Elephas maximus indicus: one gene and its partners. The protein of the gene in region 3 interacts with the protein of the main gene of each other region in a biochemical or structural test. Links are inferred from orthologs where the notes say so. Each region holds a gene or a part of one and is shown on either strand. Other genes may lie near its edges. The genes, in order: CDC25A, PPM1D, CHEK2 and PPP2R5A.

The links.
Region 1: of the proteins of CHEK2 (region 3) and CDC25A, one has a biochemical effect on the other in vitro, tested with the Homo sapiens proteins (5 studies listed by BioGRID, with this or other methods). The link is inferred for Elephas maximus indicus from reciprocal best matches to the Homo sapiens genes CHEK2 and CDC25A.
Region 2: of the proteins of CHEK2 (region 3) and PPM1D, one has a biochemical effect on the other in vitro, tested with the Homo sapiens proteins (2 studies listed by BioGRID, with this or other methods). The link is inferred for Elephas maximus indicus from reciprocal best matches to the Homo sapiens genes CHEK2 and PPM1D.
Region 4: the proteins of CHEK2 (region 3) and PPP2R5A form a complex in vitro, tested with the Homo sapiens proteins (2 studies listed by BioGRID and IntAct, with this or other methods). The link is inferred for Elephas maximus indicus from reciprocal best matches to the Homo sapiens genes CHEK2 and PPP2R5A.

What each region holds. Positions count from the first base shown.
Region 1 is NC_064838.1:52,522,469-52,530,465, forward strand, and holds the start of CDC25A (M-phase inducer phosphatase 1), read right to left. Parts: upstream 3,006-7,997; 5' UTR 2,952-3,005; coding exon 2,782-2,951; intron 1,788-2,781; coding exon 1,714-1,787; intron 101-1,713; coding exon 58-100; intron 1-57. UniProt on the Homo sapiens protein: Tyrosine protein phosphatase which functions as a dosage-dependent inducer of mitotic progression. Directly dephosphorylates CDK1 and stimulates its kinase activity. Also dephosphorylates CDK2 in complex with cyclin-E, in vitro.
Region 2 is NC_064837.1:32,687,081-32,693,949, forward strand, and holds the start of PPM1D (protein phosphatase 1D), read left to right. Parts: upstream 1-3,852; 5' UTR 3,853-4,003; coding exon 4,004-4,481; intron 4,482-6,869. UniProt on the Homo sapiens protein: Involved in the negative regulation of p53 expression. Required for the relief of p53-dependent checkpoint mediated cell cycle arrest.
Region 3 is NC_064840.1:27,874,157-27,882,171, forward strand, and holds the start of CHEK2 (serine/threonine-protein kinase Chk2), read left to right. Parts: upstream 1-5,010; 5' UTR 5,011-5,076; intron 5,077-7,332; 5' UTR 7,333-7,338; coding exon 7,339-7,723; intron 7,724-8,015. Other genes in the region: iron-sulfur cluster co-chaperone protein HscB, read right to left, coding at 1,657-1,798, 2,392-2,481, 3,202-3,298, 4,471-4,709. UniProt on the Homo sapiens protein: Serine/threonine-protein kinase which is required for checkpoint-mediated cell cycle arrest, activation of DNA repair and apoptosis in response to the presence of DNA double-strand breaks.
Region 4 is NC_064842.1:861,353-869,048, forward strand, and holds the start of PPP2R5A (serine/threonine-protein phosphatase 2A 56 kDa regulatory subunit alpha isoform), read left to right. Parts: upstream 1-4,694; 5' UTR 4,695-4,776; coding exon 4,777-4,948; intron 4,949-7,696. UniProt on the Homo sapiens protein: The B regulatory subunit might modulate substrate selectivity and catalytic activity, and might also direct the localization of the catalytic enzyme to a particular subcellular compartment.

The DNA of each region.
Region 1 (7,997 bases), on a different chromosome or scaffold from region 3:
ATAGAATTAACAAAACCTTTTTCTAAGCACAAACATTTAAAAGCAGTGAATACATACTTTTCTTTACTGTCCAAGGGCCCAGGAGAATCCAGACAGAAGCCTGTGGGAAATTGAAAAAAAAAAAAAAAAAAGTGTTTCTAGCCGCCATTAATCACTGTAGTTCAGCTGGTCTATAAAGCAGCCTTCATTCCTTCAACCAGAATTTCCATTTGCCTGTCGATTTTCATTTAAAATATTTTCAGTTCTTTGTGCTTTGCAAGTGTCTAAAAATCTCTCAGAAAATCATAAACAAAATACATTTTGTCATTAAAAATAAATAAAATTAGAACTTTACGTATAAGTCAGCCAATAAAGACTCATAGCTTAGACCTTTGCCAGAACTGAAGTCAAACCTCTACTTGATTTCTGTGGTTTGCTGATTGTCAAAAACATCTTATTTGCGCAAGTCTGAATATTTTTGTAGTATAATCTATCAATTCCCTCTCCTACTTGCAAATACTACCAAAACAAAACAAAACAAAAAAACCCAAACTATGGAGATCCCATGTACGTCAAAGTAGAACTATGCTCCATAGGGTTTTCAATGGCTGATTTTTTGGAAGTAGGTCACCAGGCCTTTCTTCCAAGGTGCCTCTCACTAGACTCTAACTTCCAACCTCTCGGTTAGTGCATTAGCCGTTTGCATTACCTAGGAATCCCAATTACCATCAGTTGAAACAGATTTTGAGGAAAAGGTTAAACTGATTCACGGCATGATTGCCTGGTTGTTCAGAGGTAACTCAGGTAACTTTCCAACTGTCAGTTCCAACCACAGAAAGAACAGGTATCAGGGTTTTCTGGGATAGTTTCAATTTCAAATATTTTATCTTGGCAAATCACGTGGGAAAATTTGGGATTTTGAAAATTCAATTACTAGTCGTGTGACATGTAAGGCCAATATTTGCTGCCTTCAACAAAATGGCACCAAAGTAAGGTACCCATCTCATGAAAGGCCTCCCACACTGCCACAAATAAAAATCCTATATCTAGCTCTCAAGAAGCTGCCTGTATTTTAAGACTTTTGTTCTTGCAGTTCTTTCACCTAATGTATCTGTGCCCAAATGCTCTTATCTGTGCAAAGATAAACCCTGTAGTAACATAAATTTATGATTTAGAATAATACAGTGGCGGTTTTCCTCCACAAGCTTACTCAAATACTTTCATTATACTTCCAATAACTTGACCCCAAATTTTAACCGATGACGTCCTGAATTACACTTATAACGGTATGGTGAATTTTACTTTACTACTCATCCTTCGGAAACCCTGGTGGTGTAGTGGTTAAGCGCTATAGCTGCTAACCAAGAGGTTGGCAGTTCAAATCCACCAGGTGCTCCTTGGAAACTCCATGGGGCAGTTCTACTCTGTCCTGCAGGGTCGCTATGAGTCGGAATCGACTTGACGGCAGTGGGCAGTGGGTTACTCATCCTTCAAGGCCCAGCACACACCACTTCCTTGCAGACACTTGAACTTGTTTTGTCTCTCCATAAACTGCTACAAGGGGTTTCTTCCTGCTGTTCCTAAGGGTGTTTGTCACCCGATGCCTTGCATTCTCCATATCCTGTCTCAACCACTCACCAATAAGTCCCCAAGTGAAGAGGAATATTTCAGTAAATTCCCAGTGTTGTCCCCTACACAGCAGACACACAATGCGTAACTGAAGACAGAAAATACCTGAATCAGTTGACTCGGAGGAGCCCATCCTCTGCAGACTGCTGTTCTTCACCTCCAGTGCCTGCTCATACTCACTACAACCAAGAGAAATTTCCAGGACTCAATTAAAAGGTTACATGCAGGAGACAGGCCACAAGCTTAACAAGTGGCCGGGCTGGGCTGCCATGAACCATCATTACTTCTAGGCCACACCAGGCTCCACTTTCCCACCCTGAACACCCAGTTTGCACTTGAGGATAAAAGCAGAGGAGAAAAGAGAAAGTGGGCACACTCCTGGGCCACATTGTAGGGTATGATTATGACCAGTATTGAAATATTTCCTGAAATGGGAACATGTGTTCTAGGCACTGGGCTAGAAGAGACGATTAAAGATGACCAGGGCAGTGTTTCTGCCTTTCAGAGGTTTAGAAAGGAAGAAGACATTTGCTTAGTTAGAAAAAGGGATGCCCAAGGCTGGGAGAAAAGCTGCCTCATTAGAAACACTGTACGATGCATTTTTTACTCTAAGAAAAAGTCCCGGAGCTTTCCGGTATGGAAAGTTGGGTAAAAAAGCCTGGCTTTGGGAAAGGAACCGAGTGGGCAACAGGAATGCGCACGAGGCCAGGAGAGATTGCGATAATTTTGTACAAACACCAGGAAAGAAAATGCCACGTCCCTTTGTTGGGTAGGAACAAAGCTCACAGGAAATTAAGATCCTGTGAGGTTCAGCTAAGGGCTAAGGAGGCCCTGCTTTCTCCCCGTGGGGACAGGTTCCAGAGGGCTCCCTGGGATAGGGAAGAGGCAGAAGGAGGGTACAGGGTAACCCCAAAGGGGTGGTGAAGGTGGGGAGCAGGGGCCATCCCCACCCCACACCGGGTCCGGCCCTGGAGGGTCCGAATGGCCTCTCCCGCCCAACATTCCTCACGAGAAAAGGGTGCACATGGCGGGCCCTGGGGCCGGCGCTGCCGCCCCCGAGCGGCAGACCCAGGCGGGCAGGTCCGCCTCTCCCCGAGCCGGTTTCCCGGCCCAGTCTCCCCGGGGACCGCCAGGACCGACAGCCTGGAGCCCCACCGCTGACCTCCTCCTCACCTGCCCAGTCCCTGCAGCTGGTCCATGGTGACCGTCAGGTTGGTGACAGGCGACAGCCCCCCGGCGGCTGGCGCGCCGAACAGCGCCTTTACGACGGCCGGTGGCGCGGGAGGGGGGCTGCAGGCGAAGAGCAGGCGCCGGCGGTGCGGGGGCTCCGGGCCCAGTTCCATGGCGGCACCCGGCCTCCCCAGGGCTCCCGCTCCTTCTTTCTCCGCCTCCGCCGCGCCCGCCCCGCCCCGCCCCGCCGCGCCCCGCCGCGCCCCGCCGCGCCGACACCGGCCTCGGCCGCGCGCCCAGCTGCCGGTGTCAGCGGGTCAAACACAAACACGACCCCGCGGTTTAGGGACGCGGCCGCCGCGGGCAAGCGGCGCGGACGGGCGGGTGTCTGGGCCGGGCAGGCGCCAGCCACACGCACGGGGGCCCGACCCGCCCCCCGCGAGGCCGGCGGGCGGGCGGGAGCCGGCAACCTGAAGATTAAATCCAAACACTGAGGATCAGAAAAGGAGGGCGGGAGAGGGCCGCGAGGCAACGGCCCGGGCTCACACACTCTTCGTTCTTCTCTCACCCTTGCCCAATCCGGGGACGCAGAACACTAAGCAAACCCACACCTCCCTCCCGGGCTGTTGGGGCTGAGATGGCCTTTCGTGGCTCACTAAAGGGCCGCCGGTGCCCCGCCCCCTTTTCCTAGTTGGCGCCAAATGGAATCCGCCAATCCGTAAGCTACCTCCCCGCCCCCGAATGGCAGCCAGGCTGGACCAATGAGAGGAGAAGAAGGGAGCCGCTCGCGGGACTCTGCGAGGTCACCAGCTCTTGAGGGGGCGGGGCCCAGAGGTGACGGGGGCGGGTGGAAACGAGAGGGACTCAGAGGTCAATGAAAACTCCCAGCAGGCCCTGCGAGGCCCGGCAGAGACCAAAGGACCCCTCTTGACCCGTTGTATGCTGGGAAGCGTAGTTCCCACTCCGCGTGTACTTCGGGGGACCTCCTACCCGCGTTGAGCCACGCCCGCGTGTCCCGCGCCCCACAGCGTGAGAGAATGTGGAGATGAGAGGACTCGTCCGAGTCAGCAGGGCCCAGCCTTTTCTCTAGCCGTGCAGCACTATGGGCTGCTCTTCTGTTCGGCCCCAGACGAAGTTACAGAAGTTGAAGGACGCCCAGCCAGCCTGCGGGCCCGCCCGCATCCTCCCCGGCTCCTGACCCCAAGGGAGCTCTAACCAGCCCGGCCAGCGGCCCGTCACGGACACCGCGGGCTGCCCTGCCCACCAGCCGCTGGCCAAAGGGGGCTTGAGTTCCTCAATGCCTCATGCGCGAATCGAGATGCACCTTCGGTGTAAAAATCCACCTCGGATTCCGAGGCGTAGTACGAAAAATAAAATGTAAAATAGTTCAATAAATTTAAAATATTGATCACAGGGAGAAATGATAACATTTTTGTTGGGCTAAAAGCACAGCGTTACAATTACTTCCACCTCTCTTCACTGTGGCTATTTGAACATTTAAAATCTATGCGGTTCGCAGGTATATTTCTATTACACACACAGTGCTCCTGTAGATTCTGGCCCCTACCTCTCCCTGTGCCTGCTGCCCTTGCCCGGGTGTAGGCCTCATCATCTTCCTACTGTACGACTGCAGCAGCCTTTTAGCTGGTCTCTCAGCTGCCAGAGTCGCTCCCTCTTCCAAGCCATGTTTTCTACTGCATCGATCTCATCCTTTCCCTCTCCCAGGACATCTTCTTGGGATTCTCTTCAGCCTATTCTGAGCACTCAGTCCTTCTCGGGGGCTCCCCTCTGCCATTCCTGCTGCTCCTTATCTTTCCCGTACCATGCATACACTCTAATCTTCCTGAACTATAGTTAATAGAGGGACTTCAGAGCAGGCCACATTCTCTCTCTCCGGTACTAGGAACTCTCTTTACTGCCAAGATGGTGCAGGCATTAACTCCATCTGGAAGGTTACCAGTCACTCTAGGATGTGGCCTCAGAGTTTTGTGCTCAACTGCATTTTAAAAACCCAAACCCATTGCTGTTGATTCCGGCTCACAGCGACTCTATAGGACAGAGTAAAACTGCCCCATAGGCTTTCCGAGAAGCAGCTGGTGGATTCAAACTGCTGACCTTTTGGTTAGCAGCCTTAATGGTTAAGCGCTGTGCCACCAGGGTTCCACTTCCATTTTAGACCTTACTATTTTATATACTGAAGGGAACCCTGGTGGCATAGTGGATAAGTGCTATGGCTGCTAACCAGAAAGGATGGTAGTTCAAATCCACCAGGCGCTCCTTGGAAACCCTATGGGGCAGTTCTGCTACTCTGTCCTACAGGGTCTCTGTGAGTCAGAATCAACTTAAGGACTACGGGATATTCTGCTGTAAATCTGAATCCATTTGATGGCAATGGGTTTATATACTGTCTAGGAACACTAGTGGTGCAGTTGGTCAGGGCTCTGCGTGGGGAAAGATGTGGCAGTCTGCTTCTGTAAAGATTTACAGCCTTGGAAACCCTATGGTGCAGTTCTGTTCTGTACTATAGAATCATTATGAGTAGGAATCTTTTTTTTTTTTTCATATATACTGTCTTAGAATATTTCCTTTTCACCCTTTCTTACTCCATTGGGAGCTGCTGGATAGCAACGGTAGTAAAAATAATAATAGCTAACACGTAAACAGTGCTTATTATGTGCCAGCCACTGTTCCGTTTGCTTTACCTGCATCCATTTAATCCTTTCAACAGCTCTATGAGATGGGAATTATTATCCTAATTGAATAGGTGACTGTATTTCTTTTTAAACCCTTGCAACCACTGGTGGCTCCTAGAATGGTTTCATAAGACGGGCATAGATACAACCACCAGGCTTTAAGAGGACTTGTCTTTCAACAGCATTTTTAGAGTAAACATACTCTACTTATTAGAATGCATGTTTGTTTCAGGCAACTTTAACTGCGTGGTGGACATTATGACCACTTCCCTGCTCAGGGCCTACCACTGTATGAAAATGGTTCTTTAAAAAACTGCTTTCAAATGTTTGTATTAGGCAAACAATGCAACATAATTACAAAATTAGAAAAAAAAAACCCGTATTCCTACCACTTTTAAAGGAACAACTGTCAACACTTTGAACTTTTTTGTGTGTGTTCACTATTTTTTCAAGATCAAATCGAGGAATGAAAGGTCCTTCTTGACTGGGCAGACATTTCCTGAATGGGACTGGCACAAGTGGGATAACATTCCAAAGGATTTATCCCAGAAAGTCCAAGTATTGGAATAAAAGCTTGGATTCAGTAATGTCACAAAGCCACCATCTTTTTCCTTTTTAAAGGTTGACTAAAGTTGAGTGTGATTTGTATGATGTTTGGGGGCTATCTTCATTTATGAAAGGAAAAGCGTAATTGAACTGCCCCTTTGCCCCATTAATTTAGGCATGCTTTCTGAAGTCCCGCAGGGTGGTGTTAGAAGGAAAGAGCTCTGCACTGTCAATCTGGAGGACTGATTCTGCTTTGGGGCAAGTCAATTGTTATTCATTTGACTTCTACTGAGGGCCTACCAACTTTCTAGGCCCGAATAGACAAGTCATTGTTTCCTTGGAGGTTGCCAGGAGTGCCATCTCTACCCCCATTCCCCCTTCACCTAGCTAACACCCACCCTTCTTTCCCTTGCCAGGGAAGTTCTAGCCTTGGACTCTGACTGATACCCACCCTGGATATCATCCACCCCTGAAGAGCACTTATCATATGTTTACATTTGCTTCTACAAACTCAAGTTAAAGAGAACCTCCCAGAACACGTTGAGTTAATGAATACATGTTACAAAGAAAAAGTATGAGTGCTCTGAGAGCATTTAAGGGAATCTAATCTGGCCTTGTAGATCAAGGAATTCCTGAGGAAGTGACCAGAAGGATAAGTCCTTATTTGGTGGAGGAAGAGTGTTCTGATCAGAGGAACAAGTCCTGTGCAAAGACCCTAAGGCTGGAAGGATCCAAGAAGAGAGAGGAGATTGGGGAGGTGGGCAGCGACCAGGCTTTACCAGGGTTTGTGAGCCACATTCTGGAATTTGGACTTCATCCCAAAAGTAAGGGGAAGTGACTGAAGGGCTTACACATACATTTTAAAAAGATAGCCCTGGCTACATTGTAGAGGATAGATTAGAGAGGGGCTAGGGTACAGCTGGGGAGGCCAGTTTGGAGGGAATAACAACAGGCCTAGTATGAGATGGTCGTGGCTTGAACTGGACAGGGATGATGTGGAGGGGAAAGTAGGCCTCAGATTCTCCCTGTGGACAGTGAGGGTGATGGCCCACAATTGTGTCTTTCAGGCAGTGAAGGGCCCCATTGGGGGTCTAGGCTCCTCCTGTTGCCAAGCTGCTACCACAGTAGCTTGGCTTTTAAATCTACATTATATATTGCTGTACCTTGTATATTTTGTTTGAAGGAGTTTCTATTGCTAAAAACAAAACCAAAAAAAAAAAAAAGAAACACCCCAAAACATTACATGTGTGGTTTGGAAATTTTTTAGACTTTTTTCCCAATCAATCTATAAGATTTATTTTCTATAGAAATGGAAACATTCCTTTCCAGTACAATGTTTTACACAGGCCCATTCTCCTCTCAGAGTCCCCGGGTGGTGCAAACAGTTAACTTGCTTGGCTGCTAACAGAAAAGTTGGCGGTTCAGTTCCACCCAGAGGTGCCTCTGAAGAAAGGCCTGGTAGTCTACTTCCAAAAAAATCACCCATTGAAAACCCTACGGAGTACAGTTCTACCTTGACACAGATGGGATCGCCATGAGGTGGAGTTGACTCAAGGGCAAATGGTATGTCTCTCTCAATCTGTCTGCTGTGGAGACAGCCTGGGCCTCCCTGGAGGCTACAGGGCTTCAGCTGAGCACTGAGAAGGAAGGTCAGAACTAGGCTTTCTAAGATGGAATGAGCGGTGCAGGAGGCTGACAACCATTGTCCTTGATATTGTAGAGACAAGGAGGAGCACCTGGAACTGGGGCTTTCCAGGTTCTGAGTCTCCATCCGAATCCTCTGGGGAGCTTTAACTTTCATTTAGCTATTTAATGAGTAGGTAATCCATTCATTTGGTAGGAATTTAAATGATACTAAAAAGGCCTAGGGTAAAAAATTCTCTCTGCCACACTTGTCCCAAGCTACCCTGTATTCCTCTTCAGAGGTCACCACTGAGGCCAATTTTTTGTGTCTCCTTGGAAGAGTTTGTGTTATATGCT
Region 2 (6,869 bases), on a different chromosome or scaffold from region 3:
TAATCTAGAGCTAAATGGAATCATTAATAACAACAGTAAGAGGTAAGGTGTGTTGAGTATTTGTTGTATGTAGACACTGTCCTAGACCTTTTACATGCACTACCTAGTTTTTTTGTTTTGTTTTGTTTTTGCCGGTGGGTGGGGATAGCCTTGATGGAGCAGTAGGTAAATGATACGGCTGCTAAACAAAATGCTAAACAAAAGTCGACAGGTCAAATCCACCAGCCACTCCTTGGAAACCCTATGGGGCAGTTCTCCTCTGTCCTTCCTGTAGGGTTGCTATGAGTTGGAATCAACTTGATGGCAATGAGGTTTGGTTTTTGTTTTTTTTACCTAGTTTTTTTTTTACAATATCTTCTGAGGTAGGTGCTAAGTTAAACAGCTAGAAAATGTAATAGATTTTTCTGTTAAAGCATATTCTAAGGGGAAACACCTCAGAATTTTTCTGATAAGCAAACATCCTAGGAAAAAAAAATAAGGATTAAATCAAAAGCAAACTATAAGTTATTATAAGTGTTTTTGCTATTTGCCCACTATTCATTCAAAATACAAACTTCTCTTTTAAAAGGTGATTTAACAGTTGACCTTTAAACATCAGATTTGGAGCCTCTTCTAAGTTCAGTCAAGTCCAACAGACTGGACAGAGGAAGAAAATGTGGGGGGAGAAATGTTGGTGCCTTCCAACTCAGCACAGAGGAGACAGTGAGTGTCCCAAGATAATCTGCTCCCACACTGCTCCGAAACCAAAACAATCTTCTTAGCACCCAAAAATAAATGCAATGTTTAAATTTTACTGTTTGTATCTTAAGGTTGGTCTCCTGTGAGTCTGTCTCAAATTCTGAAGGGCACATTGTTTGGGGCTTAAAACCTTCTCCAACCGCAAGGGTAGTAAACAGTCCTGCTGAGTAAAAGTAAGCCACACAATAATTACTTTAGGGAAAAAAATGCTTTTTAAAATCATTGAAACAAATAGATGCTATTACTTTTCAGCAAATGAGAAGAATGGGAATTTTTTGTCAAGATAAAGCAATAAATTCAAGACAGTCTCTTTAGAAAAAAGGCTAAGCTAAGTGTCTTAGTAGTGCTATCTAAAGAGAAGAGGTATGAATATTCTTTCCACATTAATGCCTCAGAAACTAGTTATCTGCAGAAAACATGACAGATTGGATTTTCATGGCTAATTAAGAACACATACAGGTTTGACACCTTTGGGACTCTGGCAGCAGTGATTCTAATTTTGTGTCTCCCACCAATTTATATTCATGCACAATGAACATGACAGTGGTAGTCAGATTAAATTGATTATTTTGTTAAGTCTCGAGTTGCAAAAACAACAAGGTCAGAGTAAAGGCAAGTCACAGAAGTTAATCTCTTGAGACACATTATCTCAAAGTTCTAAATACATAGCTTGGCTATAATAGCTGAACAATGGGAAAACTACTTAGTATATGTTACTGATATTTTCTAGCTATGGGAAGAAACAATAGCAAATTAATTAGATTATTTTTTTGCTTCTGAAATTAACTCCTACCTTTGAAGGTTTTGAACTCAATAATTAAGAGCAAAATATTACAAATGAACAAACCAGTGGGTAAGATAGTTAACCCTGAGATAGATACAAGGAAAAAATACTTTTAAAATCATTTAAAGCTCTACTTAGACACTTAGCCTTTTTTCCTAAAGAGATTCTCTTGAATTTATTGCTTTACCTTGATGAAAAATTCCCTTTTTTCTCATTTGCTGAAAAGTTACAGCATCTATTTGTTCAAATGATTTTCAAAACTTACTATCTAATAAAAGAGTGTCACTAACCAATGGATAAAAATTGGATCATTTTATAAAAGGTATTGGGAAACAAACCTATTTGAAAGAAATTCAGATTAGATTTTCAGTTCATGCCAAAATAATTCCAGATGACCCTGAATGTAAAAAAAAATTTAACCATAAAAATACTAAGTGAGCTGATGTCTCACCATCCTCACTTCTAAAGAGCATTCTGGTTGTATTTCTTCTAAGCCTGATTTGTTCATTCTTTTGGCGGTCCACAGTATATTCAGTATTCCTTGCCAACACTACAATTCGAATGCATCAATTCTTCTCTCTTCTTTTTTCATTGTCCAGCTTTTGCATGCATCTGAGGTGACTGAAAAGACGACCATGGCTTGGGTCATCAAGGTGACATCTTTGCTTTTTAAAACACCATATTATGGATGAAGGTCCTTTCAGACATTTGCTTCCAGAATAAGAAGGTTTTGTCCATATGAAATTTTGCTGGGGCAAATACCCTCCCTCTGCAATTAGTTTTATCTAAGGTTTCAACAAATTCTGCTGCTGCCTTCACATCAGCACTTGTAGACTCACCACTCTCATGTAATGCAGCGAAAAACATTGAAGTGCTTGACCCACTGAGTTAGCAGTAAACTCGATTGGAGTCTGGCCCTGCTTTTTCTTTAAGCATATCAAACAAGCTTTGTGCTTTAGCAATGACTGTCAGGTTGCAGAGGGATTCGCTTTTGTGTTTGGTCTGTAATCCATGTCATTAGTAATTTCTCCATATCTGATACTGGTCCCTCTTGCGTTTTTCTCAGCTTTGTAGCTTTCAGTGGAGCAGGGCCTTTAACAGCTTGGAGAATTTTTTGTTTTTGAGCATCATCCTGATTGTCAAGTGCCACATGCCTAAACCTGCTATGTCCCTTCTCCCATCTTTCTGAACTCTATTATAGCTTTATGGGACCCGGCCTTATGGCCCAGCAGACGTTATTCTGTGCATGACTGCAGTATCATTCCGTTTGAAAATCTTGATGGTGAAGTGGCCAAGAACTGAAAAAGTGAATTTAAAACAGATTCACTTCGAGAACGTTTGCTGTTGAGAACATACTAACCTGTCTACTCTGAAGCTTATTTTTAATCTATGAAAATCCATGCAGAGGTTTGAGTGCTTTGATTGGGACCTATTTAGTGAAGAGGGGAGATGGATAACCAAGTCGTCAGAGCGCTTGTAGCACTCGGATGGTATGAAGTTTTTGTACGCTATTTTTATGTTATCTGATACCACAGGAGTAAAATGTACCAGGGCTAGTAGGAAAAAGTACTATGTTTAACCAAAGCTGAAAAGGTGTTACTAATGGTTAGACTATAACCCTCCTAAGTCTCTGACATACCTAGTTAGTTATGTGAAATGAGATTGTGCAGCTGATGGTGGAATTTAACCCCAAGTGTTCTTAACAACAAACTGGATTGCCTCCCTCTTCAACTCCCAGTCGAATACATCCCACCCAAATCCAGCTCAAGGGTGCTTGCCACACTTTTTCCAGCCAGTTTGCAAACGAGTTTCCGAAGGTAGGTTTCCCGCCATTTCGCTGAGGAATGGAAGGTCTTTCCTCCTTAGATTCTGCTTTACACGTAGGAAGCCCGACCTTACACCAGTTTCCTCTTAAGGCAAGCAGCGGAATGCGAAGCGCGGTCAACAGCGTTACGATGCGGGGGGCTGAGCTGAAAAGCGACAGACCAAGTCGCCCCGTAACAGCTCAGCATCAGCGGAAAACCCGACCGGGGAAACGCGCGCAACTAGAGTAGAGTGAATGGGATTGCGCGCGGGCCCAGAGCCCGCGGTGGGAGGAGGGAGTGCAGCCGTTGCAAGGAGGAGCGAAGGTTGGGGGCGGAGGGCGGGTTCGCTCCAGCTCGATTCCGATTGGCCCGGCCCACAGCACCGAGTGACGGCAGCCCGGGAGAACGCCTGATTTGTGTGGTGGGCGCGGGCCGGCGGAGGAAGCGCATTGCGCAGGCGCAGTTGCTCGGCTCCTCTCGCCCTAGCGCTCCGGCCCAGCTCTCGCGGACAAGTCCCAACATCGCGCGCCCCCCCCCCCCCGCCTCCGGGACCGCCCCCTCCCCCTTCTCGGCGTCGTCGAAGATAAACAATAGTTGGCCGGCGAGTGCCGAGTGTGTCTCCCGCCGCCGGATTCCGCGGGCTGCGTGGGACCGGCAGGATCCCGGCCAGCCGGCCATGGCGGGGCTGTACTCGCTGGGAGTGAGCGTCTTCTCCGACCAGGGCGGGAGGAAGTACATGGAGGACGTTACTCAAATCGTTGTGGAGCCCGAGCCGACGGCCGAAGAAAAGCCCTCGCCGCGGCGGTCGCCGTCTCAGCCGTCGCCTCCGCAGCCGTCACCACCGCCGCCGGCTCTCCCTGGCAGCGAAGTCTCGGGGAAAGGCCCGGCAGTGGCAGCCCGAGAAGCCCGCGGTCCTCCCCCGGACGCCGGCGCTTCGCCGGATCCCAGCCGCTGCTGCCGCCGCCGTTCCTCCGTTGCATTTTTCGCAGTGTGCGACGGGCACGGCGGGCGGGAGGCGGCACAGTTTGCCCGGGAGCATTTGTGGAGTTTCATCAAGAAACAGAAGGGTTTCACCTCGTCCGAGCCGGCGAAGGTTTGCGCTGCCATCCGCAAAGGCTTCCTCGCCTGTCACCTCGCCATGTGGAAGAAACTGGGTAAGTTCCATGGTTTGTTGGGCGCCCGCCTCTTTTTCAGGCAGTTCAGGGCTTTTAGCAGCAGCCAGCATCGCGTGGGCACCCGGCACTTGGCACTCGGCACTCGAGAGCGCTTTCAAAGTGTGCATTTATAGAAGTGAAGACTCTTCTCGGTCGAATGGCGCTTTTCAAGGTGGAGATCTGGGCAAACAAATTAGCCTTGGAAGAGAGAGGATTGCTGTCTCCCTGCAACCGGCCCTCGCTTTATTTCCACTCTCCAAGGATGAATGGGAAGCCGTCTTTTCCCTAAACTGGTTCACTTTGATGGCAGCCAGCGAAAAGTGTAGAAACCTAGCGCCAGTTTTTGTCCGAAAGAGAAATCGAAGACACGCTGCTACCCGGGCTACGCGAAGGAAGCAGGAGATGGCAAAAATTAGTGTTTCCTTACAATCTGTCATTTTGCTCTTGAAGGACTTATCCCTCTCGGTTGCCGCCTACTGGTGATGTCAGTTCTCCAAAGTGACCCAGGGCGGCTGATAGTCGGGGTAAAGTGTAAGCTAATTTAGAAGGGCTGAAAGGTAACCAAACAATTGAAAGTCTTGGGGAAATACTCCGTTGCGGTGATTATAAAATGCTTTTAGGATTTTTATGCCTGTACTGCATATGAGAAAGAAAAGTGCGGAACTTGTTATCTCAAACTAGCTCCCTGTGAGAGGCGTGTGAAATTTATCTAGGCCTTTTTAAAAGTACAATTTTTATTTTCGGTAGTTGCTTTAGCTAATTTCTACCAGGTAGTTCTCTACAGTTCCTTGTTAAAAAGAATTTACAATGGAAGGGCTGACTCATTAAGGGGAGGGCAAGTGGGAGTATGGAGTAAGGTGTATATAAACTTATATGTGACAGTCTGACTTGATTTGTAAACATTCACTTGAAGCTCAATAAAAGTTAATAAAAAAAAGAATTTACTAGTTATAAGCGCCCATCAAAGTAGCAAGGAATTACTAATATGCTAAAACCCAAACCAAACCTTTTGCAGTCGATTCCGACTCATAGCCACCCTATAGGACAGAGTAGATCTGCCCCGTAGGAATTCCAAGGACAGGCTGATGGATTCGAACTGCCGACCTTTTGGTTAGTTGCTCAGCTCTTAACCGCTGCACCACCAGGGCCCCAAGAAGAAATAGGGACTTCGATTTCTAAAAACTTAGTGTAGGTTCTCCAAGAGATTGTAGTTCATTTAAAATTTTAGGTGTTTTCTAAAGCAGCCAATGTTCCTGTATCCAACGTATGTTTTCATACAGGACTGTAGTTGCTTATCCATTTCAGTAAATAAATGGCATGCATTTTTTTTTTTTGATAGAAAAAGAATACTCTTCTGACATTAAAACAGAAAACAAAACTCGTGTTTATGGTAGCATAATGTTTTATTTATTTCATGCAGAGAGGCAGAGAGAAAGAGTGTCAAAGATTTGTTAAATACAGAAAAACACCTGTGAAAAGGTATCATAGAGTTCTAGATGAGCTGCTTTCAAATCCTGTTTTCCATTTGCCTGGCTTTCTGCCAAGAATTATTTGATTGACTCAAAAACCATCCAGTGGGCTTGTTGCTTGAGGTGTTTCCCATCCAATCCCAGAGGCCCCTATTATGGATTTGTTTTGTTTTTGTGTAGGCAGGCTAGAGCTGAAAGCACTGCAGTATATTCTAGAAATACATCACATCGACTGCAGGGCGACTAGAAGTAGGCAGCAAGGCTACAAGATATAGAGGATGATTAGACACAAAGAATTATTTAGAGTTTTTATTTTGCAGTATACTTGGAGCAACATGAATTTGCCCAGTTTGAACTGTGAGGATTGAAAAAATACAAACACTTCCCTTAATTGATTTTTTTAAAAGAAGTTATGTAAACCCTGTTACTAAAATGAGTGTTTTTTAATAAAGTTGGGGCCATGATGATAAATGTATGTATGTTTTTTACATACATATGCTTTTTAAATCAAGCTTTCACCCCTATGATGCATGGTCTTAGAGCCTTAGACTCTAGCCACATGTTAAAGTCAGGCAGGGCCTCACATTGGTTTCTTCTGGGTTCGAACCCCTGCTGAGAACTTGTATTTCCATCCCAGATAATGCTGAATCAGAATCTACATTTTAACAAATCCCCAGGTGATTCTTGTGTCTAATAAATTTCGAGACCCACAGCTCTACTAGTGATTCTCAGAATAGGTCCCTAACCAGCAGTATTAGCATTGCCTGGGAACTTGTTAGAAATGCAAATTCTCAGCAGGGTTTCGAACCGGAACAAACCGGTATGACGTCCTGATTAAAGTTTGCTTTGTACCACAGCTAAACCTTGAACTCCATCCTCAAAATTTGAATAAACCAAATCCAATTTCTAACATGTTTTA
Region 3 (8,015 bases):
AGTTCTGTGTTATGTGCTTAGGATGCGAGGGAAGCAAAAAGCAGACACAATTTCTGCCTCTGCAGAACTTCCAGTGTAATGGGTAAAGCTGATATTGATCTAATAATCTCACACAGAACAGTAAAGTTTTAACTGTGATTATTCCTACAATGGTGGGGTACACATTGCCAAAAGGTGTTAATGGAGAGGTCAAGAATGGTTTCTCTGAGGAAAATATCCCCCAGATCTGAAAGAGGAGGAGTTAACTCGATGGGCTGAAGGAGAAGGTTTCAGACAGAAGCAATAGCACGTGCAAAGGCCCTGGGGTAGGAAGATGCCTGGTATAGATGAGGGATTGGAAGTGGCTGGTCTGGCTGGAGTGGAGGGGGCAAAGAGGAAGAAAGCAGAGGCCAGACCATGCAGGGCCTTTTAACCATGCTAAGGAGTTTGGTCTTTAACCTGAGAGCAGTAGGAAACTACCCCAAGTTTATAAGCAAAGCGAGGGGTTATATGATTAGATTTGAGTTTCAAAAAGATCACACAAGTGACAGTGTAGGAATATTATACATGGAGCTAGAAGATATAGACAGACCAGCCAGGGGCTACTGTAGGTGTGCAAGTAAGAGAGAATGATAGCTTGGAACAGGGTAGCGGCAGTGAAAATAGATGGGTAGATAGATTTGAGATGCATTAAAAAAGTCATCTCTGTAAGACTTGGAGATGGATGGTAAGGGAGAATAAAATTGTTAAGGATGGCTCCCCAGTGTTTAGACTTATAAAACTGGATGGTGCCATGTGCTTAGAGAAGAACCCTGGAAGAGCAACAGGTTGCTCTTTTTTTTTTTTCCCATTGAGGAAAGGGAGGCCACTCATGAATTCCATTTTGGACGTGTTAAATTGAAATATATAGAAGGCACAGGCCATGTCTTTCTTGTTCACTGCTATATCCTCAGTGTCAAGCACAGTGCTTGATACATAGTAGGCACTACGTAAACATTTGGGAAAGTTTGTAAGTGCATCCAGTCTGAGTGAGAACCCTGGAGTCTTTTCTACAGAATAAAGTAGAAAACGAAGCTATATGGGGTCTGAAGAACAGGGTCTCAATCTTTGCTTTGCTACATATCTGCTGTGTGACCTTGGGAAATTCCATGAAATTCTAAGACACATTTTCCCTGTCAGAGATAATCACAGTATCTAAATGACATCACGGGTGGGAAGGAACATTCCAATCTGCAAAATACTGTTGTTGTTGGGTGCCACAGAGTCGATTTCTACTCATAGTGATCCCATATGACAGAGTAGAACTGCTCCATAGAGTTTTCTAGGCTGTAGTCTTTATGGGAGCAGATTTCCAGGTCTTTCTCCTGTGGAGCGGTTGGGTGAGTTTGAACCACCAACCTTTTGCTTAGCAGCCGATAGTATTACATTCTTGATTTAAGGCTGCCTTTTATAGGGCCACTATGAGTCAGAATTGACTTGATGGCAGAGGGTTTGGTATTTTTTTTCCAGAGGGACGTTGCAAGTTTAACCTCCAGACAACATTGGTTTCTGTATGGTCAAGAAAAAAAATTCCCTGAATCATCATGATAACCAGTAATTTTCTCTCTATACTCGTCTTTCACTTAACCCTAGGTATATATCCATAACAAAGTGCCTTGGCACCGTTTCATCTTTTACCTGCGACAACGGATTCAATCTCATTGACAGCACCTTCATGTTGAGCTTCTGCGAGTTTTTCATTGATTTCCATTATTTCCACGAGGAATTGCTTGTCCATTTCATCTGTCCCTTCGGGAATCTCTATTCCACGGAGTTTTAGCTATTGAGGTATAAAGCAGACAAAATAAGTTCTGTTTAGGAAACTATGGCCAGAGTCCTGTAATTCCTATTCACACCTTAGAACATAATATCGCTCATGGGGAAAACTCGAGCTGTCCTAATAACGAAAGCGTTAAGAGTAGGTGCCAAAAGCCTGGGCCGAGACAGAGTGCTGGGACAGGATCCCTCTCTGTGCTCCTTGGACCTGTGTGACCCTGGGGAGTTACTCTTCTACTCAGAGGTTGAACTAAATGTTTGTAAAGATTCTATTAAGTTCTAAAATTTTCTGGAGTTTAAGACTTCTCCCAAAAGAAACCAAAAATTACCCTTCATTAAAAGTCATCATCAAATCTTTGAAATTTATAGAAAATGGTGTCAAAAAAAAAGAAAAGAAAAAAAAGCAACTGGGGCAAGTAACATTTGCAGAGAATACTCAGAGAAAATGATACTCGTGTAGTATCTTTGAGGCTAAATATTGGGTCTCTGGATCAGCTCAGGTCTCAAGCGCTTTTCTCTGATTAGAGGGGAGCAGGTGTCCCACAACACAATAAGCACCAGGCAGTCACGCATAAAAGAGTTGGGAAATCACCTTACAAGGTATAGTCCCCTGCTTAGGGGTGCCAGAAGGGTCTTATAGGCATCATTCACCAGGGTCGAATGCTTCACTGAGAAGTCCTTTTCAGTCTGTTAGTGGGAGATGAAGGCAGTCTTATTATCATCCAAATTAACCATCTTACATTCACAAACTGTTTTAAAAAGGCTGATGGGTTACTGGGCCATAAAAAGAAATGAAAGTCCTGATGCATGTCACAGCATGGATGAACCTTGAAAACATTATGCTGAGTGAAGCAAGTCAGTCATAAAAGGGCAAATACCGTATGATCTGACTTATATGAAAGAGGCAAATATAGTGGTTACTAGAGGTGGGAGGGAAGGGGAGAAAAGGGAGTTACTGCTTAGAGGGCACTGCGTTTATGTTAATTGTAGTGGAATAATTTGGAAAAGGATAGTGATAATGGTTGTAAAACATAAAGAATATAATCAGTGTTACTGAATTATACATGTAAAAACTGTTGAAGTGGCATATGTTTTATTATGTATATTTTTACCATAATTAAAAAAAAAAAAGGCTGATGGGTGGAGACCTCAGGAAGTAGCCAAAATAGAACTGGTGTCGGATGAGCTGTCTTAATTTTCAACTGATTGGTTTTAGTCTGCTGGGAAGTTAGATAAAAGCTGTGAGTGCATGACAGCTCCAAGGCCTGGCTGGCTGAGGTCAGGCTGCCATAGGGTAGAGCTGGTTGTCCGGCTTGTTCCGTGATAATTACATAACCACAAGGCCACTGCCACCCATCTAGTGTGTACATGTGTGTTTGGGATGATTGGGGGTAGCCAATAGACTACCTGAGACCTCTGGCTGAAGAAATCTGGATGAACGAGACGCTGTAGTTGCTGGTACCTATGCTGGAGCTTCATGGTGTCAACTCTGAAGGAACGGTTGCTGGAAGAAAACCAGTAGATGAAATTCATGGAACAAATAATTAAAGATTTGTCTTCTATAAGCCTGGTTCCTGCTCTCATGGGGGATGGTTTCAAATAGTGGTTGGTGCTATGAATGAAAACAGAACTGGGTCAAAGAGAGTGGTGAATGGAGTGGATGAAGAGATGACATTTGAGGGGAGACCTGAATTTGTGGAGGAGTATTCAAATATCAAAGGAAAGAGCCATCCAGTCAAAAGGAACCACAAGTGCAAAGGCCCTGGAGTGGGAACAAAATTGGCACACTGAAGAAATTAAAGGGTAGTGTCATTGCAGCCCATAATAAGTGCTCAGTGACCTGTGGGGGCAGATCCTGGAGTTGAGGGAAGGGGCAATGCTGAACTTCACCCAAACTTTCTCTCTCCTAGATCTCCCACTTTCCTTTAATCCAACTCATTTTAGCTATCAGTTCCTAGAGTCTGCCTTATCACCTAACCAGTCCATCTCCACCCACATTTCATCACCTCTCCAAGCTCAATTTCAGAGGAAAATGGGAAAAAACACCCATTTCTGGGACCCTCCACCTTCAATTCCCACTTTTCCTTTAAATCCTGCCCACAATACTAGTTTTTCTGTGCTTTTACTCCCTTAAAGATCCCTATTGGTGCACTGGCTAAAAGCTTGGCTGCTAACCCAAAGGTTGGTGGTTCAAGCCCACCGGCCTCTCTGTGGGAGAAAGATTTGCAGAACTGCCTTATGGGTCAGTTCTACTCTGTAAGATCACTATGATTCAAGATCCACTCCATGGCAAGTGTTTTTTTGGTTTTTACTCCCTTAACTTGGACTATACATTAGTATTCCTTTCTTTAAGAGTTTCAACCCAACTTTAACCTTTCTTACTCTGCTCCCCAGGTCTCCCTTGTCCTAGGTCCAGCCCTCAATTTCTCCTCTCAGGCTTCGCACCTCAAGTCCCCCCCTCAAGTCTCCATCCCTCATCTCTCCGGCCCTTCCCTCAGACCCCGCCCCTTAATTTTCTCTCCCTCAGGCCACTTCCCAACCTCCATTCTCCCAGGCTCCGCCCCCAACCATCTTTCAGGGCCCCTCTTCTCCAAGCCTGGTCGGCCCACCATTCTAGCTGACCAGTTCGTCACGTCTCGATGGTCTCGACCCCTTTCCCAAAACCGCCGCCCGTACCAATCCATGAGGCTGAAGTAATCTCGAGTGGGGTCGGGTGGCTGCAACGCGCGGCACTGCGGGCAGAAGAGTATGTCCTCCCCTGTGGGGCCCCCTGGGCTGCCGCCGCACTTCCAACATCGCGGGGAGTTGCTTCGGGCCTGCGAAGCAGCATTGCAGCTTAGTGGTCTCCTCCTGGGGCTCCATGCTGGCCTCAACCCCCACACCCGGAGCAAGGCCCCAGCTCTCCCGCCCCACATCTGGCCCACGGCCTATCTCGCCTGGGTCACCTGTGGGGGAAAGGGGAGTTAGCGAGCGACCTAACTAGTGCTGCTGATTGGCTGTGGGAACTGAGGGGGCGGGATCACCTTGGGGAGGGGGGGAACCTGGATTCTGTGTCCCGCTTTGAGATCTAAACTACAACTCCCAGCAGGCAATGAGGCTACACTTCCAAGGTCCCATCCGCTTCTCCTCATTGGCCCAGGGCGGCGGAGGGTGTTTTTGATTGGCTGAGGAAGGAGTTTGTATTACATCTTTAGCGCCACTCCGCTGGCTGCGGCTGCGGCTGCGGCGAGTGTGCGCGAGTCGGCTGCGGCGAGTGTGCGCGACTCCAGGTGGGCTCGCAGGGTGAGTCTTAGTGGGGAAACTTTTTTGGGTGTTTTAGGGGTTCGAATCCCGTCCTCAGGGTCTTATGCGAGCAGAATCTCTGGAGCTTCCGCTTTGCCGAATTTGAGCTCCCGGGGGGGGGGGGAGGCGAGTACGTGGGCGACTCTTCCTTCTTTGTAGATAAACTTGGAGGTGAAGTTTACATTCCCTCGTGACTTACAAGCTGCTACTGGCCTAGACCTAGAAGGTGGGAAGTTAAAAAGTTTATGCTCTTAAAAATCACAGCGAAGTTGCTTTGTAAGGAGTTCTATGAATGTTAATGATCACTGCCATGATTTAAATTCAATATCGTAAGTATTTTTGGCGAACCCACTTTAGCTGCTATGCGCTGCAGGAACAAGAAACCCACTGCCCTATGTGTGTGTGTGTAGCGGATGCCTTGCGAGTGGCCTTAAGTGTGAGGGATGGGGTGGCAGGGAATGGGCAGCCAGCACGAGACGTCTTTGAGACTCAGTTTCTTATATGAAAAAAGATTGTGTTGCATATGTGAGGCTTTTTTCTCGCTGTAGGATTCTTCGGGACTGGAAGTCTGTTCACAGTCATGGGTTTTGCTGTGGTTATTGTGGCCTTTCACACCCCACTCCGCATGGCCTGCTGATATAAGTAGCTCCCAGTTATCATGCATTACTGGGGTGGAGGGGGAGGTGGGGAGAGCAGAGGGCTAGCATTACATGCATCACTTCATTTAATCCTCACTATTTATTTGCTTTTTTCATATGAGTAAACTGAGACTCAGAGAGATTGGGACCTGCCCAGTGTCATGCAAAGATTTGAGGCAGGCCTCTGACTCCAAGGCTCTACACCTCTAGCAACTCCACCATACCTTCTCACTATTGCTGAGGCCGGGGTGGTCCCAGCTCTTTATTTTTGTCTGAGTGGGTGGACCCTTGTCCTAAGCAAATGATGGCTGCCACCTCTTGACACGCTCTTTCTTTCTCCACTTACCAAGGGCGGGGACTAGATGCAGACGAAGAAGTCTTGTTCAGAAAGCTACAGAAGGACCCAACCTGGCTGAGGCAGTTTTAGACCAGCAGGTTCTGGAGTGGCAGACTCAGCTCTGGCATCACCTTCCTGTTGTGTTTTAAGAAAAGCTCCTCAGGACCTTTGTATCTTGAAAGCTGTGTAAATGCAGTAACATTGTTTACAACATTCTCCTGAAGGATTAACCTGAATGTGGGGAAAGGAAATACTTCCATTAAAAAAAAAAAGTCAAATTGGATCAGGCTTGCAAGTTACTTTGATTTTACAGGAGGTTCTGTTGTCTGAGTATAACTATCCATCAAGTTAATTCTAAAGAAAGGGAGCCTCTGTTATGGTATCTGTGACTCAGAGAATGGTTCAGAATTCTGTCCAGAATGGAAGGCCTTTTGGGATGCTGAAAAGATGAACCCATAGTTACTTAGCATCAGAAGAGCTAGGTGGAGTTGTTTAGAGCAGTCTGGTTTGTGCTCTGTTTCTTTAAGTGGCCTGACCCAAGTTAGGTGCCAGGGGATCTGGAATGAACAAACTGGATATGGTCTCTGTCCTTCTGGAGTAGGCCTGGGTCAGGGTGAAGGAGAGACATCCGATGTGTTTTATGTCAATGACAACCCTAGCCATTGTATGGTTTCTCTTTGCTCAGCTTCTACCTTTGTCCACCTGACAGTTCCCCGCCTTCTTTCCCTCTCAAAATATATATGAAATTTAAGTGTAGTGTTAGTTGTATTAATGAATAGGGTTTAGGTTTCATTTCTAATTTTTAAAAATTGAGGGAATGTAAGCTTTTGAGCCTTTGACCCCATTCCCCCCAACTCAAAAACTATTGGTCTAAATTGTTAGCATTTTAACTTTTTAAAATAATTTGTCTTATTTTTGTTGTGGAGAATATACACAGTAGGACATACACCAATTCAACAGCTTCTACATTTACAAATCTACATTGATTACATTCTTTGAGTGGTGCAGCCATTTTCGTTCCTCCCACACTAACAAACTCATTGCCTCCTAAATTTCCTGTCTAACCTTTCAAGTTGCTATTGACAATTTGATCTCGTGTAGATAGATCTTAAAAGAGCATAGTGCTCACAGCAGACGTAGCATTTTAATTTTTGCAGAGCATGTGTATCCTGTCTTTTTTTTTTTTAATTTAAAACCATTGTAATTTGCCCACCTTTCACTCTTGAACTTTAAGTTTTGTTCCTTGAAACTTATCTTATTGGTGAACACTTGCTTTTTGAGGTCCTGATGTCTCGAGAGGCAGATATGGATTGTCAGCAGTCCCAAGACGGCACCTCCTCACAGTCTCAAGGCGCCACCTCCTCTCAGTCCGCCACCTCCTCTCAGCCCGCCTTCTCCTCCTCCTGGCAGTCGCACAGCAGCTCCTTGCAGTCCCCTGGCCTTTCCTCACAGCCCCACGGCTCTTCGCAGTCCCAGAACACATCTGGCTCCTCCTCTGGCACAGTACACACATCCAGTCAGTCCTCTCACTCCAGCTCCGGGACGCTGAGTTCCGTAGACACAGTGTCCACTCAGGAACTCTACTCTATTCCCGAGGACCAAGAACCAGAGGAGCCCATCCCGGCCCCCTGGGCTCGATTATGGGCCCTTCAGGATGGATTCTCCAATCTCGGTAAGCGTCTTTGTTATATGATGCAATGTTTCATTCAGAAAGACAACTACAGTAAGTTGTAGTAGAAGGCTCGAGTCGCTCCTGGAGTGATTCTGGAGTTTGATGGTGATGGAAGATGAAACTGAGGAAGCAGTGTTGGGTCGTACATTAGCTCTTAACCCCTTTTGGATTCCCTTTATTTATTCTTACAGCAGATACTTTTTGGGCATTTGTGCTGTGCTGTTGGGCTGAGGTTCTTGAACAGAGCTGTGGACTCTCCCCAGAAAACTGCAGTTTCATGCAAACTTGTAAA
Region 4 (7,696 bases), on a different chromosome or scaffold from region 3:
AGCAGCTCCCATCACCATTATTTCCTGGCACAGAGAACCAAAATGTGCTCTATTACGTTACTGAAATAACGTAGTACTTTCTCTCCTAAGGACAATACTCCAGTAATTTATGCTGAAATACAAAGCCCAATATGTGCAAGGACCAGAACGGCATCTGACGCAAGATTGTGCCATTCTCCAGTCCTAGCCCACCTGGAGTAAGATAGGAAATACGACCACTGCAATTCAATGTGAGAGACCAGGATCTAGCTCCTGAGGACAGGAAGAGGCCTTGGCCAGTCACAAGCTAGGGAAGCTGGACACTTTACGTCAGCCGTGCCTGATACTGGGGGGAGAGGTTTGGTTGGGAGACAGAGTCTTGCCTCCTTTATAAAGGCACCGCAGGAGAGGTTTTGTCACAGTTGAGTTTGGAAGGTTGTTAGGAATTAAGAACACAGGGTGAATGAGTGTGTGTGTGTGCATATGGTGTTCAAAGGGTCACTCAGCCATTTGTGAACAGCGAGGGCAATTTTGTTTCTGATCCTTGGCCCGGTGCCACAGCAGACATGGGGGCTTTCCTGCTGTCTTCTGTGCAGCCCGACTAGCCCTTGACACTGGACAATACAGAGACACATGGCAGGCAACATCTCTTGTGCCCATGTGTTTCCATTATAAATTTTTTTTTCCTTAGAGAGGAAAAAGAAGTTTGTTTAATTTCCTTCTTTGCTCCGGCCCGCTCCAGGCTGTCAGGCCAGTCTAGTCATCTTCTTTCCCCAAATTAATATACAACCTATCATCACCTCTTTTTAAAAATAAAGACCTAGCTACCCAGCTTCAATGACCTTAAAAACTCAGTTTCTGTTAATTCAACCTCAGATTCATCTTTATTTCCCTATTCCTTTCTCTGACACCCCTCCCCCACTCCACCAAAATGGCTCAGCTTCTGGACTTTTTGTTCAAGGCCCCCAACTCATTTGGTCACCCGATTCAAAACTTTGGCATTACTTGTAATTCTTCTCTTTGACTTTCCACCTACCTTTAATCAAGTATTTTCTTGCTTTTTTTTGTAAATTCTTAAAATTTTCAAGGCCATTTTTAGCTTAAACCATTTGCCATCAAAGAACGGGGATACAGAGTGGGGGCGAGGAGTTGGGGTATCATTTGGGATTTTTTTCAAAATGCATTTGTCTCACCCCAAGATGCTTCTTTCCCTTGGAGAGGTAGGAACGTATAGGAAGGTTCTGAAAAGGCTCCAAAGTTGATGCTGACACAGATTGCTTAGCACCACTCACTCAGGTGCTTATCACCTGGGCACCTGCAATCACCTCAACCAACCTCCTTGGCTCTCACTTCCCCTGCCCAGTCTTTTTAAAACACTACTTTCAACAAAACATCTTCCATTAAAGGTGTAGGTATGTATATATGTACGCTTATATAGGTGTATCTGTAGTCATATGTATATACATGCTTGTACTACACATGTATTCATATATGTAACAAAGCAGAGAGGCCATAGTCACAGATGCTTCCCAGACATAATCAAACACCTTAATGGGGTTGAAGTCTTAGGACCATACTCTCGTGAGACAACTTGGTCAACTGGCATAACGGTCCATGAAGTTTATGTTCTACATTCTAGTTTGGTAAGTACCACCTGGGGTCTTAAATGTTTGCGAGCAGCCATCTAAGATACAACTATTGGTCTCTACTTGTCCAGAGCAAAAAGAAGGAAACCAAAGATTCAAATAAGAAACTAGTCTACAGGCCCAGCTGCCTACACAAATTATGGCCTCATCTACCCTGAGACAGAAAGCCTAGATGGTGCCCAGCTACCACTACTGACCATTCTGACCAGGGATACAATAGATGGTCTGGGATAGAATGGGAGAAAATTGTAGAACAAAACTCAAATTCTTAAAAAAGGCCAGACTTACTGGACCACTAGAGGCTAGAGGAACCCCCGAGCCTATTGTCCTGTGATACTGCTTACACTTTGAACTGAAACACTCCTGGAGTGCATCTTTCAGCTAAATTACAGAGTGGCTCATAAAATAATATCACCTGTGAGTACTGTGCTCCATGGCGGGGGAGGAAAAAAAAAACCATCTATATGAGACCAAATGGTCAACATTTACCCTAAAGCAAAGATGAGAGGTTTGGGGGTCAGGAAAGCTAAATTAACGGCAACAGCTCTTGTGAGAGAGATATGGCAGTCTGCTTCCACGAAGATTTACAGCCTGGGTACCCAGTGGGGACCGACTCTCACAGCAGTGGGCTGTTTGGTCTCTCCTGGCTCTGCACCTTTATCCCAAGGCTTTGAACCAGTTGGTTCCAGTTCAAACCCCTGCTGAGAATTTGCATTTCCACTCCAGATGTACTGAGTCAGAATCTACATTTCAACAACATCCCCAAGTGAGTCTTTGGTGTAACAGAGAACCACCGCTCCTCCAGCGATTCTCAGGATTGGTCCTTAAGCCAGCACCACTGGCGTGACCCGGGGACTTGTTGGAAATGCAAATTCTCAGCAGGGACCCCAGCCGGAAGGAACCAGTTTACAGCCCTTCTTTACACATCCTTGTCCCGCTGTTTGTAATGATTTTCCCTTTGTTTCCCTAACTCTTCCTAGTTCAATTCTCGTATCTGTCCCTTTATTTTTTTAGGTGAAAGTTTACAGCTCCAGTTAACTTCTCATACAAACAATTACACACATTGTTTTGTGACACTAGCTGCAATCCCCACAATGGGACAGCAGAGTCCCCTTTCCACCCCGGCTTCCCGGTATTTTTTTTTTTACTAAGCCCATTATATAGGACGTACTGCACAAAAAACCTAAGACGGCCAATGCCTGTCCTTAAACTTATGAATCCAGAAGCAGCCTCCGAGGGAGGAATCCTAACCAGAGTGCGTCCAAGTCCCACAGCGCGCGGAGCACTGATGGCGAGTCTCCCCGCTCCGCTGGGGAAGACCCGGGGCGCCAAGCTGGGAACCAGGGGCTCCCCGGCAGCAGGAGCAGCCAGGCCGCCCGGCGGCCCCTCAACTACCGCCCGGCTACGAATTCACCCGGACGCTGCCACCGCACGGCGCCGGGCCGCCGAGGTCCGAGCCGCCGGACCGGGTCCCCGCGGGCTCCGCCGCCGCCGACCACAAAGTCCGCCGCCCGCCCTCCGGCTTCAGTGACGCCACACCCGGCCTTCCTCCTGCTTCGCGCCCTGAGCCGCAGGCGCCCAGTCGCTTCCGCTCCTCATTGGCCCGCCGAGCGGCGGGGGCGGGACCAGCACTCTATTTACCTCTGTAAAGGCCGCCGCACCACCCCTCGGGTGTTTACGGGCCGTCAAGGCAGCAGGACTAGCCCGCAGCTGCTGCGCAGGCGTGCAAACGTGCTCACTCCGGGGGGCACTTTCCCCAGTCCCCCGAGGATTCGTTACTTTGCTGTGACGCACTTGGCATCCCGCTCCCCGCCTTCACTTACGATTGGCTGTTGCTAAAGTCCGTCACACAACCACGCCCCTTCCTATGCCTATCCTGTCAGCTCGACGCTAAACAAGCCGTCCAGGAGGCCACGCCTCACCCCCTTCCTGCCGCTGAGCTCTGCGATTGGCTCAGGGAGCTGGCATGCTTTCCCGCCCCCTGTCTCTCCTCCCCGCGGGAGCCGACCTTCACGCGGCATCTGAGAGGCTGGCGGGACACCGCGAAAGTTGCCAATCAAACCCCTCCCCGCCCCCTCCCTCGGAGCCCCTCCCCCAAGCCGCGCGCCCCTGCGCGCGCACACGGACACACGCGCCCTTCCCTGTAGCAACCGCCGCTCAAGTTGTAGCGGTCGTTCGCCGGGCTCCTCCGTGGGCGGCACACGGGCGCCTGGGGGAGGGGCGGTCGCTCGCCGGGCTCCTCCGTGGGCGGCACACGGGCGCCTGGGGGAGGGGCGGCCGTCGCCGGGCTCCTCCGTGGGCGGCACACGGGCGCCTGAGGGGGGAGGGTCGCTCGCCGGGCTCCTCCGTGGGCGGCACACGGGCCCCTGGGGGAGGGGCGGCCGTCGCCGGGCTCCTCCGTGGGCGGCACACGGGCCCCTGGGGGAGGGGCGGCCGTCGCCGGGCTCCTCCGTGGGCGGCACACGGGCGCCTGGGGGAGGGGCGGTCGCTCGCCGGGCTCCTCCGTGGGCGGCACACGGGCGCCTGGGGGAGGGGCGGTCGCTCGCCGGGCTCCTCCGTGGGCGGCACACGGGCCCCTGAGGGAGGGGCGGCCGTCGCCGGGCTCCTCCGTGGGCGGCACACGGGCGCCTGAGGGAGGGGCGGCCGCTCGGCGCTCGGGGAACGAGTGCGCGCCGAGGGCCGGCGGCGGGTCAGCGCTTCGGGAGATGCGGGGCCGGCGCTGACAGGAAGAGCGGGCACGGCGGCGGCCGCTCCGAGGGAACCCGCGATGGCAGCGCCCCGGGAGGCGGCTCCGGGCTGGACGGGCGGCGCGGGCAGCGGCCACTGAAGTGCGACCCGGGCTGAGCGGACGAGGCGAGCGCCCGGCGTCCGCACCCCCGGCCCCGCCTCAGCTCTCCGAACTTGGGGCCCCTTCCCGCCCGGGCCCCGCGCCCGGAGTCCACAACTCGTTCCCCGCCGCCGGCCCGGAGTCCCCGGGACCGCGATGCGGCCGTGAGGCGGCTGAGGCGGCGGCGGCGGCGCGGAGGAGCTCGGCGGCCCCGGGAGCGGAGGGCGGCGCGGACGGCGAGGGCGCGGGCTCGGGCTCTGCACGCCCGCCGCCGCCGGATCCGGGCACGCAGCAGCCGGCCTGCCCCGCACCAGGGCCGCGGCGATGGCGTCGGCGGCGGGGGCTGCCGGCGCCGCCATCTCGGCCGCGGAGAAGGTGGACGGCTTCACCAGGAAATCGGTGCGCAAGGCGCAGCGGCAGAAGCGCTCGCAGGGCTCGTCGCAGTTCCGCAGCCAGGGCGGCCAGGCGGAGCTGCACCCCCTGCCCCAGCTCCGAGGTGAGCGCCGCGCGGGCTGCGGGGGGCTGTGGGGGGCCGGGCGGCCGCGGGGGGCTACGGGGGCTGGGGTCTGCGGCCCTGTTTCCGACGGCTGTGTCGGGCTGTGCTGCCTCTCCTGCTGTTTCCCTGGCCCCCCGTTTCCCGGGTTGGGGGAGGCAGGCAGGCCCCCCAGCAAACACTCCTCCTGCGCGCTGCCTCACCTGCGTTTGGGGTCGCACCTGCCCCTCCGTCGCCCAGGCTCGCAGTCACCAGCGCCGACCGCCGCTCTTAGCTAGTCGCTCAGCTGCACAGCCGCCTGCACCCACCTCTCCTATCTTCCCGCCCGCTGGGTGCCCCTAATGCACACCCGGGGAGAGCTAGCCACCTTTAGATTCAGTTATGAAGAGAAAGCCTGAAATCTGAGCATTGTAGGTTTTATTTACTGGGTTAGTAGGTGTAAAAGTGATCTCCAGCCCAAAGTATAATAGAAGGGGTGCAACCCCCTTCCCGTCCGAGAAGACATGTCCGGGGAGTGGGGGAGTGTGGAAGGTGCACACCTTCACCTGCCCGCCGTGGCCCCGGGCCTTGTAAGCTGGGCCGGAGGTCAGACCCCCGTCCTGGCTGCTGCCTGCGGGACAACTTGCCACCCCACTCGCTCGCTCTTGCCCCAGGGTCAGAGGATTTTAAATATGTTGCCTCCTGGTGTTCTCGTTTATTCTTTGTGAATTGCTTTCTTCATTTTATAATTTTAACACCTCTTCTTAAGAGATAGGCATCGCCGATGGAACAGATAGATGGTAATGCCTTGGACAGGTAAACGTTTCTTTTTCCAAGGCGGGGAAATGAAAGGCCCATACGAAAACATAATATTCAGCATAATTTTCTGTCCATTGAAAAAGCTGCAGCATCCCCTTCAAGGCCAGTTTGATTGTCTTTGGGCATGTGTATCCAGCCATAGTTTGGCAAGGAGTCTAAAGAAAACCCCAGATCGAATCATAGTTGGAACCCTTCAGAGACCCTTGGGGTGCTTCTAAATCAAAGACATTCTACAGACAAATCAAACTGGCTTTTGAGGTTTTACTTTAGATATGCGTAAGAGCTGCCATCAAATTCGTCATTTGATTGCTCTTTAGAACACAAAAGTGGTTAAAACTTAACACTTGGTAGTCAGTGGTAGGCCAAGTTGTCAAGAGTTTAATTCTTGAGTGGTGTCAGAGCTATAAAGGAGCCCTGGTGGCACGGTGGCTAAAACTCTTAGCTACCAACTGAAAGGTGGACAGTTTGAATCTACCAGCTGCTCCTTGGAAACTCAGTGGGATAGTTCTACTCTGTTCCTACAGGGTTACTGTGAGTTAGAATGAACTCAACAGTGATGGGTTTGGGGTTTTTTGTTTTGTTATTCATGGATTTTAAATTTTTAACTTAATTGAAATATCATAGTTATTTTTATTAATTTTATCATTAAATTGTCTATTTTTGCAGTTTGAAGACTTAGTGCTAGCATTTTTCTTTTATATTTAATAGCGTTTTTTAGTAAGATGTTGTGGTTCTTGTAAGTGCTGTGAAACCCTGGTGGTATAGTGGTTAAGAGCTATGGCTGCTAACCAAAAGGTCAGCAGTTCTAATCCACCAGGCGCTCTTTGGAAACTCTGTGGGGCAGTTCTACCCTGTCCTATAGGGTCGCTATGAGTCAAAATCAACAGGACGGCAACGGTTTAAGTCCTAGAGTTGCTAGCCAAACGGTGAGCAGTTTGAATCTACCTGGTGATCCTTGGAAACTCTGTGGGGCAGTTCTGCTGTCCATTGGAGTCGCAATGAGTCAGAATCAACTCCATGGTGACAGGTTTGGTTTGGTTTTGGTTTTAGTGTTGTGCTTGTTAATATTTTATCCACTTTATTTAGTAAGTTATTTTAATATTAAACGTGGTTGATTTCAGGCCAGGAGAATGCAGGTTTAATACATTTTACTTTTGGAAATCTGACAAAAACATGCAGGATTAGTAATCACCTAATTTATGTGACATACGGCTCAACAAGCTGAAGGTGCTATTGAGTTTTTTATTTATAGTATTTGATCACTATTACAAAGAGAAGAAAAGTAAATTGAAACTTTAATTTTAGATGTTTTACGTGAAAATATAGTATTCTCCATAAGAAAAGTTCTGCATTCTAAATAAATATATATTAAAGAAGACCCTTACTCACATTACGCACTAACAGGAAAAACTACTTTTATCTCAGATTCAAAAAATGTTTGAAAAGTGATTTAAAATTTTTTTTCGCTTCTCTTGGTAGTTTGGCAGTGTACTTGGCACCACAGCATTGTGTTTCTTGTCAGTAGCCCTTTTTTTCCATTTGTGGTCTTAACAGAAACCAGTGGAAAAAGCTCACTAGTAGGTGTACGGAAAGAGAATTTTTCTTTCTGCGCTGAAATACAGTCTTACTCTGGAGTGATTCAGATATCTGTGTGTATCCGAGATCTTTCAAGTGTTTATTTCAACCTGCTTATGTTACACTTTGTCCATGTGAGTCTAAAGTGGAAGGGTGCCAGCTAGTTTTCCTTAAAGCATTCTGTACTATGGGTAAGGATTAACAAAATAATCCAATCTTTCCTCTGTAACAAGTTCATTTCTGCAAAATCATTCCCTAAGTGGATTGCAGGATTTTCATGGTGAAAATGTTCAGAATAAATTATCTGTTTTGTTATTAAAAAAACCCAAAGCCCATTGTTGTCTAGTCGATTTCGACTCATAGTGGCCCTATAGGACA